Linked DNA regions of Arabidopsis thaliana. The protein of the gene in region 1 interacts with the protein of each later gene in a biochemical or structural test. Each region holds a gene or a part of one and is shown in the gene's direction. Other genes may lie near its edges.

Region 1 (4,966 bases):
CCAGTAATAGGGATAAAAAAAGATTTGTTGAGAGATCAAGCTAGAGTCTCGTCACTCTGATCTTATAATCAGCTAGCTCAGTGAATGGTTCAACTCTAATTTTCCTTTTGTTAATCTGATCTATCAAGGAGAAGTCGATGATTGCTCTTACAAGTTACATCTCAAGATGAGATACTTGAGGCTTATTGGGCTCTTCTTCTTTGGATACTTCTAGGTTCAAGTTGAGGCTTTTAGTGGGCTTATTTTGATAAGTTTTTATCTATTATCGACCTGAATTAGCAAACTAGTCAGTTTTCAGAACATATTTAGAAAATTAGTCATTTTACTAGTCACAATTTATAAAAAAGTCACTTTTCACTGTTTGATTTGTACATTTAGATTTGTACAATACTTTTAGTATACATATGTATATAGATATACACAGCGTACACTTACATCTGTATACTAAAAGTGTTGTACAAATTTAAATGTACAAATCAAACAGTGAAAAGTGACTACTTTGCAAATTGTGAATAGTAAAATAACTAGTTTTCTAAATATGTTTGAAAAATTGACTATTTTTTCATTTATCCCATTTTAAAATGTATGAACAGTACAATATTATTAATATTATGCTCTATTTTAAATCAATGGAAAATTTTATATAAAAAATGCATAATGAGGAAGAGACACACAAATTCAATTGTTAGGAAAGAAAGACTTTCACTACATTAGTGCTCCTAAACTTTTGCTCTACGCAGTATAACCTCTAATTTACTGGTAACTTATATTTGAAGTGATTTACGTATGATACTACTTGAAGCACCAAACTGTACTTCTATAAACTCAGGTAACAGTAGCTACGTTATTATAATAATAATAAAAAATGTTATAATAAGGTTTTAAAGAAAGTAAATATCAACATTATATATGGGGACATACATTGATTCAGTTTTTGATAAATAGTGTAATTTGTATTTGAGTTAAAAAATTTGCCTTTATTTATATATTCCCCTCGAAGAAAAACTTTATTTACGTCCCAAAAAAGTATTTTTGGATTCGCCATGAATGTTTGATCATTCATATTTCAGAAAGTATTATAAATCATCGTATATCTGCATGAGAGTTTCATGCATAATACTCTTTAAAAGAAAATTGTTGGATAACGTAAAACAAAAGTGTTGGATGACGTCAAAAAAACTGTGAGGTGACGAAGAAGACAGATGGAAATTGTATTTTTGAACACACTAAAAAAATCGTAATATGTAAGCCAATTCATGTCATTATTGAATGTTGTTAAAATGAATCAAATAAGGCAAAACATAAAATATTGAAGAAAAAGATTTTATAAGAAAATGTAAAAACACTAGAGAAAGTAAGATGAGAGTTCCTTCTCCAACACTTAAAAACCCACTCACAACCAACACCAAACGGCTACATCACTTTCGGTGACCGCATGATCTTGCACTTGAAGTTAAAGAAATACTCAATTCCTAATCATTTTAACTCATTAATTTAATTAAACTAAAAATATCAAACCAATATATGAAAGGCAAAAGGTGAACAATATTTCAGCTTTTTGGTAAAATTTGTTTCGATTCTGCTAAATATCATTTTGCTTTGGACCTGGTTAGAAAAGTCAGATCAAATTTGGAAAGAAATACAAATTAGTGAGTACATGTAATAATAAAATTTAACTATTTTCAATACATGATTTTAATATTTGTATTTATTTAAGAAGATTATAATTCAATTGTTTCAGTGAGGAGTTGTTTGGTTTACTCGGTTTATTATATATGATGATATACAAAACCAGTTCTTTAATTTGGTATTTGTTTCAGTATGTTTGCTTCAAATTTCCTTCCCTTACGAATAAGCAACTAATAATGATCAATGAAAGTTGTAACAGAGACATCCTCCTTACCAATAAACAACTATAATCATCACAAAAGCTTCTTAAGAACCTTCCACCACTTCTCTTCTCTTCTGAACATAAAACCCAAACACATTCACAAAATTCATAAACATAAAAAAATAAAAGAAATTGAAGACAAAAGCAAAGAAAATGAGCACAGCAAGATTCATTAAGTGTGTGACTGTCGGAGATGGAGCAGTGGGAAAGACTTGTATGCTCATTTCATATACCAGCAATACGTTTCCTACGGTAACTTTTAATTTCTTAGCAAACTTGATATATATCCAGATATATTTTCAAATTGATGTTTTAAGATATTTATGTTAGGCTCCTGAGATCTTTGCTCATTTTAAACGTTGTTCATGGCAAATTAATAAGAGCCTAGTTTCATCTTTTGCGTTTATATTTCCATATCCGTTTAAGCATATTTTTCCTAGAATCATTAACGTGAAATATATCTAAAGCTGAATTCAAACCCATGCTTCTGGATTTTTGCTATCTGTTTACTTAAGAAACATGGTTTAATGTATGTTTTTTGATATATAAATGATTTAACTATCTAATTTACAGGATTATGTTCCAACAGTTTTCGACAACTTCAGCGCAAATGTGGTGGTCGACGGGAGTACCGTGAACCTTGGCCTGTGGGATACTGCCGGTACGCCGTATGATTACTTGATTATACTAAAACTGATTATTAATGAATGCTAGTTACGATAAAAGTTATTATTGTGGAATTACAGGTCAGGAAGATTATAATAGGCTTAGGCCTTTGAGTTACAGAGGAGCAGATGTCTTCTTATTAGCATTTTCCCTTATAAGCAAGGCCAGTTACGAGAATATTCACAAAAAGGTAACTTTAAAAGTTTTTCCATCCGTTTTTTTTTATAGATAAGAAACTATGATTATATGATAAAGTATTTCTAGAAAAATTTGTTGACACTGACTGATTAATTAATCTGGTGATTAATAGTGGCTTCCGGAGCTGAAACATTATGCTCCTGGCATCCCCATTGTGCTCGTCGGAACAAAATTAGGTAACGAAAACTTTCCCCTTATGAGTTCATAAAGAAACTTAATTTATCAACATTTGTGTCAAATTAGATATGGTCTTGAGTAATAATCCGCAGATCATACGTTTTTCATTTGCAAAAGAAAGAAAAAAATTCTACAAGAAGCTACTTTTTCGTCAAATAGTAATACACTCTCTTTCACTCTGAATAATATTGAGATATCACTAAATAATATGTTATTTAGAAAATAACACCTATAGTAAATGTATTTTGAAAAATTACCTAATTAATTCAGGCCAGTAAATTATATTATTTGTTCTGTTATGCTACAGTTTTAATGAAAAACATGTGAAAAAAGAATAACATTTTCAAATTCGATAGTTGTATAAAAACAGTTAGATTTTCATCTAATAGCAGAAAAATGTTCAAATGTAGGAAGATATAGCCACTTGGATCGTTAATGGCATCATGAATAGTGGCCCAATTTAACATTTATTCAACAACTTATATTGAAAAAGCTAATACATTTCTCCATTTGATTTATGGTATCTCTTGTGTTATTGATAATATCTTTTTATTCAAAACAATAATGTTACACAAAAATGAATATAGATTTGAGGGATGACAAGCAGTTCTTGAAGGATCATCCAGGAGCAGCTTCTATAACAACTGCTCAGGTACCATACACAAATCTTTAAAAAATAATCTATACAAAAATAAATTCATAAACAATTATGAATGGATTTGAGTAACAGGGAGAAGAATTAAGGAAAATGATTGGAGCTGTTAGGTACTTAGAGTGCAGCTCCAAAACCCAACAGGTACTTAGAGTAAATTCAACATGTATTTAGGTACTTAGAGTGCAGCTCCAAATGTTTTTTTGCCAAAATTTTCATACTAATAATTTGAATCCACAAATATATATATATATATATATATATATATATATAGTAAATTGAAATACTTAATGAAGTTAAATTAAATAAACTGAAAAAGTTTTTTGTTTGTGAATGTTTAATAGAATGTGAAGGCAGTGTTTGATACAGCGATAAGGGTAGCTTTGAGGCCACCAAAGGCAAAGAAAAAGATAAAACCATTGAAGACTAAGAGATCAAGAATATGCTTTTTCCTATAATATCTGAACAGATTTCAATAAATAACAAACATTTATATATACTTGTATTTTGATATTTTTTTGAATATTTTCTACTTGAAATAGTGGACTTTGCTTCATCACGTTATTGGCGAGAGTATTGTCGAATCATGTTACCATTATTCGGGAGAAATTTGTAAAATAGTAGTAATTTGGCAAGAAAATTGAGGATTGATATTTTTTCCCCATAAATTGTGGAATCACGCTTTTTGGTGACAATTTGCGAATTCTAGTTTTTAGCAAAAAAAATTAAAGAGTAATGTTTTTTGATGAAAAAATTATGGATACAAGTTTGAATCAATAATATGAGATTTTCGTCTTTGAAAAATAAAATTTCAAGTTTAAAATTTTGGCTAAAAAAATGTGGATTCAATTTATTGATAAGAAAATTGTATTAATCCTCACTTGAAACTCCTTACACTCTTTCTACATGAGTAAGACATAAACAAATGTGACGTTCATGCTCCAGTTCTTATATATGTCCAATGTATAACCTGAGCAAAATATACTTATGCACTTATAATACCTTAATTACCCGTCTTACTTTGAGGCTGGATCTTGTCCTTTAAGTAATCTATCTTCTGGGAAAAATAGAACTCAAGGGCTCTTACGTTCAATGTTAAAAAATGGTACCATTTCCTTGCAAAAACTCAGCTGTTTCAGAAAAGATTTCAAAAGCTAGCATACCTATACCATAACACACAAAGTTTTATACATTGGGGTAGTCCACAATAAGAACTGAGAGAACGTTGTTTGCTAGATAGGAGGCTCTTTCATTGAAGAGTATGATGGTTCAGTACCATCTTCATCATATACTCTACAATTAAAGAAAACCAAAGCCACACACAAAAAAAAAATCAAATGCAAATATAGAAATACTATTACGAGTTCTAATTCTCCAACAAA
Region 2 (4,891 bases), on another chromosome or scaffold:
AGAATAATTAAAGATTAGCTATATCTATCGTCCTCTATATATAGTAGCTAGTAATAATGCATTGCATGCATCTGATGTTTGTGAGTACTGTCCACAGGACGGATAGAGGAACATGGTCAAAAGCAAGCAGACGAGAGTATAATCTTAGGGATGCTATTTCTCGCTCCACCACTCAGGTACAAATAGTTTCTAACTCCATATATCTTACCAAAAATTTTAAAAAATCATCTCAAAACTAGTATTTGGTTGTTGTAGGTATATCCAGAATCTTGGACAGCCGTATATGTGGCACTGGACAATGTGGGGATGTGGAATCTAAGGAGTGAATATTGGGCGAGGCAATACTTGGGTCAACAATTCTACCTTCGAGTTTATTCTCCAACACACTCTCTTAGAGATGAATATCTTTTGCCTAAGAATGCTTTGTTGTGTGGCCGAGCCTCCAATAAACACACCACTCCTTAATGACTCTACTCAGACCAATCGTCAATGGCTGATTTAGGGATATGTATTTTATTATATTGAGTTCTTTATTCTTTATAATTTCAATAGCTAGATATATGTTGCACAATTATTATATATACTTCAAAAATTGTAATGTATACCCAAATTTGATGAAAATTTTACTGTTTTGTAACGGTTATTGCTAAGTTTGAAGTTAATTTTTGTAGGCAAATGCAATGTTTTCATATGAATCAACCAAGTAACTCTACCATATCACCAAGCAAAATAGTATAGTTTGAAGAGAGAGAGTAAATTAAAAAAAAAAAAAAACCATACATAACATATTAGAAACATTAATTTCGAATAAACAGACTTTAACGATGAAATAAAAATTTAAATTATTATCCACCGGTAGATGTAGAATGTTTATTGGTATAGAAAGTTGTTCTATTTGGTCAAAGTTTTTGTTGACCTTGCAATTACAAATTACAAGGCTGTCAATCGAATGAAAAACATGGCAATGGAAAAGATTTGCTAATAATGCCAAGACAAACAAACGTTTATTTGGAAGGTTAAAAGCCTTTTAGAGAAGAAAAAAAAAGAGCAGAGAGTCAACTAATTAAGCCATGCATGTGAATCAACACCAATCCATAGCATATTCTAGTGATCAGTGACATTAATATTGTAGATTACTATATTAACCCGAATTCAAAGGGCATTAAATAGGTACTTTAATGAATTGAATTAAGAAGAGTAATATAATCAACGGCTTAGATTCGTTGCGTGAAAAAACCATAACCGAAAACAGCGGAATCCACGAAATAAGTAAGCCAAACGCAATCTAGACCGTACGATGTGAATACTTTAATGACGCCAGAATACTATGGACAGTGTAGATCAGGCGAATGGGCGTAATACACGTGGCGTAAAATCACGAGGATAGATATGGTGCAACGTAGTTCAGGCCGGTGTGGTACGAGAGAGTCTGATGATCCGACAAGGAATACTTCTAGTCCACACAATGTCAGCCTTTCTTTATTTTCTCGGTCGCTTCGAGATTCTCAATTCTGCTCTGTAGAAAAGATCCTGATGGTTCACTTTTAATATCCAACGGTTGATATAACACAAGCGCATGCTCCTCTTATGAGAACGGCCGTGGGATATAATTTAATCTCGCCGTTAAAAAATGTGACGACCGTGAGTTAACGGTTTATCTGTTACCAACCTCATACCTGTCCCTAACGGCAGAGGATAACGCCGTGAGTATGGATGGATGGGAGAGAAAAGAAGAGAGAGAGTGTGAGTGAGGAAATGAAAGGAGTCTTTTTTATTTGTTATCTCTCATCTCTCTCTCTCTTTCTCTCTGAGCTTTGCTTTTTATCAAACAAGCATCATCATCACATCCACTTCCTTCTTCTTCCTTTCTCTGTCTGTCTCTTAACCCAAATGTGGACTCTTTGAGCCGTTATTAGATCTCTGCCGCTTCAATAATGGGGAGCTTATCTTCTGAGGAAGACGACGAAGTCTCTTCCGAGAGATGCGGAAGTTACAGTCCCAGCGCCGACATTAGCGAGTCCGAGAGTTCCAGCAGCTTCTCCTGCCACCGCTTCGACGGCGAGGGTGCCTCTAGCTCCATCCCTTCTTCCCCTCGAGTTGTCGCTGGTAGAGGATTTTACTTCCCGGCCCCAGTCATGCTTCCGGTGATCGGCGGCAAAGATGTGGTCTGGGATGACAAACAACCAGACAACGATTTATCCGGTATAAAAGTTTCCAAATTTGACCTCTTTTGTAAACATTGATGAACACTAGGATTCAATTTCCCTTTTGTTTCCTATTGGGTTTCAGAAATTGAGATGATGAAGGAGAGATTTGCTAAGCTACTTCTCGGGGAAGACATGTCTGGTGGAGGTAAAGGGGTTTGTACGGCGCTTGCTATCTCCAACGCCATCACCAATCTCTCTGGTACCATCTCAATCTTCTTCCCTTTTTGTTAGTTGGTATATATAGTAGGGGTTTCTAGTTTTTTAATAAGGCTAGTGTCCACACAGCGACTGTGTTTGGCGAACTATGGAGGCTTGAGCCTCTTGCTCCTCAGAAGAAGGCCATGTGGCGCAGAGAACTTGAGTGGCTGCTCTGTGTTAGCGATTCTATCGTTGAGCTCATTCCTTCCATTCAGCAGTTCCCTGGAGGCGGAACTTATGAGATCATGGAGACCCGTCCACGTTCTGATCTCTATGCCAATCTCCCTGCTCTCAAGAAGCTCGATGCTATGTTGATCGATATGCTTGACGCTTTCTCCGATACTGAGTTCTGGTACACTGATCGCGGCATAGTTCTTGGTGATTGTGACAAGGATTCTTACAATTCTCCAGCTTCCGTTAGGCAGGAGGACAAGTGGTGGCTGCCTTGCCCTAAGGTTCCGCCTAACGGTTTGTCAGAAGAGGCCAGGAAGAAACTGCAGCAGTGTCGGGACTTTGCTAACCAGATTCTCAAGGCTGCATTGGCAATTAACAGTGGCGTGCTTGCCGAAATGGAGATTCCCGACCCTTACTTGGAGACTTTGCCCAAGGTATGCGCCTTCTCGAGCTCAAGGATTAGCTTTTTCATTGCTGCTGGAGCATAAATTCTTTTACCGTTATATGTGATTAGCTCATTGAGTTATGATTTTAAACTTAATGCAGAGCGGGAAGGAATGTCTTGGAGAGATCATCTACCAGTACTTAACTGCAAACAAGTTCTCTCCCGAATGCCTCCTGGACTGTCTTGATCTCTCATCGGAACATCAGACTCTTGAAATCGCCAACCGGATTGAGGCGGCTGTGCATGTTTGGAGACAAAAGAATGGGAGGAGGCACAAGAAGCAGGCGAAACTAAAGCTGTCTTCTTGGGGTGGCAAGGTTAAAGGCCTTGTTAATGACAACGAAAGAAATGATTTCCTTGTGCAGAGAGCCGAGACCCTCTTGCAGAGTCTCAGGATCCGTTTCCCGGGACTTCCCCAGACAACGCTGGACATGAACAAGATTCAGTACAACAAGGTACATTATAGTTTGGAGTGTGCTTTGCTGGTTGCATCATGAAACGATGCTTAGATAATTTAAGAGTTTGTGTGTGTTCTTGCAGGATGTAGGGCAATCAATTCTGGAGAGTTACTCTAGGGTGATGGAGAGCATGGCCTTCAACATCACGGCCAGAATAGATGATGTGCTTTATGTTGATGATGCCATGAGAAGATCCATCTCTGTCACAGAATCGCTATCCCTATTCAGCATCAATGGACTCAACCCTCAAAAAGCGTTCTCTGTGCAGAGCTCTCCGCACGGTTCACCATTTGCAACGCCTGCCCTAAGTGTAGCATCAAGAAGCCCGAGGAGAGCACCGCCGCTGTATTCAGTGAAGAGGAATGGGACGAGAGAGAAGGGAATAGTGGGAGAAACAGAGAAAGCATGGTCGTATGCAGGGAATCTGAGTTCAAGAAGAGTAACGGGAGTGACGCCGGAAAGAGATTAAGATTGAAAATAGAAGAATGTAAATCAATGGTTGTAGAGACTGTAGTTGTTTCTTGTTTGTCTGACTACGAAGACGAATGTGGTAATAGCAACAAGAATGTTATCTTATGTGGAGTTTTGAAATGTTGTTAACAAATCAATTCCTTAGCTCATTTACCAAGTTTACAAAGATTATGGTCCAAGTCCTAAAACTGAATGAACATCACATACCCGTCTCTTGAGTGATTTAATCATGTTCTTCATTGCACTAAAGCGACAACTTTTGGTTCAAATATAGACTATGACTATATGGTTTGTTTTGCACAGGATTAAAGTTGATGTTCCAATTTTATAATTAAAAAGTCAGAAAGGGGTTTTCTTGTTATTTTTTACTTGTTCTTATAAGCTATCGGGACGACACGGAGTTTTAAAGAGTTTTCCGTTTTGCTGAGCGGAGGCGAGAGAGGGTTTAGAGTGATGGAGCAAAGTAGCGGGAGAGTCAATCCGGAACAGCCGAACAACGTCTTGGCGAGCCTTGTCGGGAGCATCGTGGAGAAAGGAATATCGGAGAATAAGCCTCCAAGCAAGCCGCTTCCCCCAAGGCCCTCCCTTCTTTCCTTCCCCGTCGCTCGTCATCGTTCTCACGGACCCGTAAGCCAATCCAATCCTCTAGTGCGTGCTTTTTAGGTTTCCATCTTCCTTTTGTTGCCTTCTTCTAGATTTTAAGCACCTTCTACTGTTGTTTAGTACTTGGGACTCCACAATTTTTCACCGTGCCTGACCTTGTAATTCAGCTTTCTGAGACATCTAATTTTTGTTTCTCATGTTTGATTTTGTAGCATTTGGCTCCTGTGGGAAGCAGCATAGCACAACCTAAGGATTACAATGACGATCAGGAAGAAGAAGAAGCAGAAGAACGTTTCATGAATGCAGACTCCATTGCTGCTTTTGCTAAACCGCTT

What was found. Proteins that work in one complex are often made in the same cells at the same time.
Region 2: of the proteins of RAC2 (region 1) and ROPGEF1, one has a biochemical effect on the other in vitro, tested with the Arabidopsis thaliana proteins (one study listed by BioGRID).

Annotation. Positions count from the first base shown.
Region 1 is NC_003076.8:18,641,717-18,646,682, forward strand, and holds RAC2 (RAC-like 2), read left to right. Parts: upstream 1-1,823; 5' UTR 1,824-2,044; coding exon 2,045-2,143; intron 2,144-2,464; coding exon 2,465-2,552; intron 2,553-2,637; coding exon 2,638-2,747; intron 2,748-2,867; coding exon 2,868-2,931; intron 2,932-3,519; coding exon 3,520-3,584; intron 3,585-3,662; coding exon 3,663-3,728; intron 3,729-3,928; coding exon 3,929-4,042; 3' UTR 4,043-4,260; downstream 4,261-4,966. UniProt on the Arabidopsis thaliana protein: Inactive GDP-bound Rho GTPases reside in the cytosol, are found in a complex with Rho GDP-dissociation inhibitors (Rho GDIs), and are released from the GDI protein in order to translocate to membranes upon activation.
Region 2 is NC_003075.7:17,984,709-17,989,599, forward strand, and holds ROPGEF1 (rho guanyl-nucleotide exchange factor 1), read left to right. Parts: upstream 1-1,675; 5' UTR 1,676-1,934; coding exon 1,935-2,202; intron 2,203-2,289; coding exon 2,290-2,406; intron 2,407-2,492; coding exon 2,493-3,013; intron 3,014-3,125; coding exon 3,126-3,479; intron 3,480-3,564; coding exon 3,565-3,951; 3' UTR 3,952-4,161; downstream 4,162-4,891. Other genes in the region: sks9 (SKU5 similar 9), read left to right, coding at 98-176, 256-465; IYO (RPAP1-like, carboxy-terminal protein), read left to right, coding at 4,407-4,580, 4,769-4,891. UniProt on the Arabidopsis thaliana protein: Guanine-nucleotide exchange factor (GEF) that acts as an activator of Rop (Rho of plants) GTPases by promoting the exchange of GDP for GTP. Acts downstream of PRK2 in the control of polarized pollen tube growth by activating ARAC11/ROP1.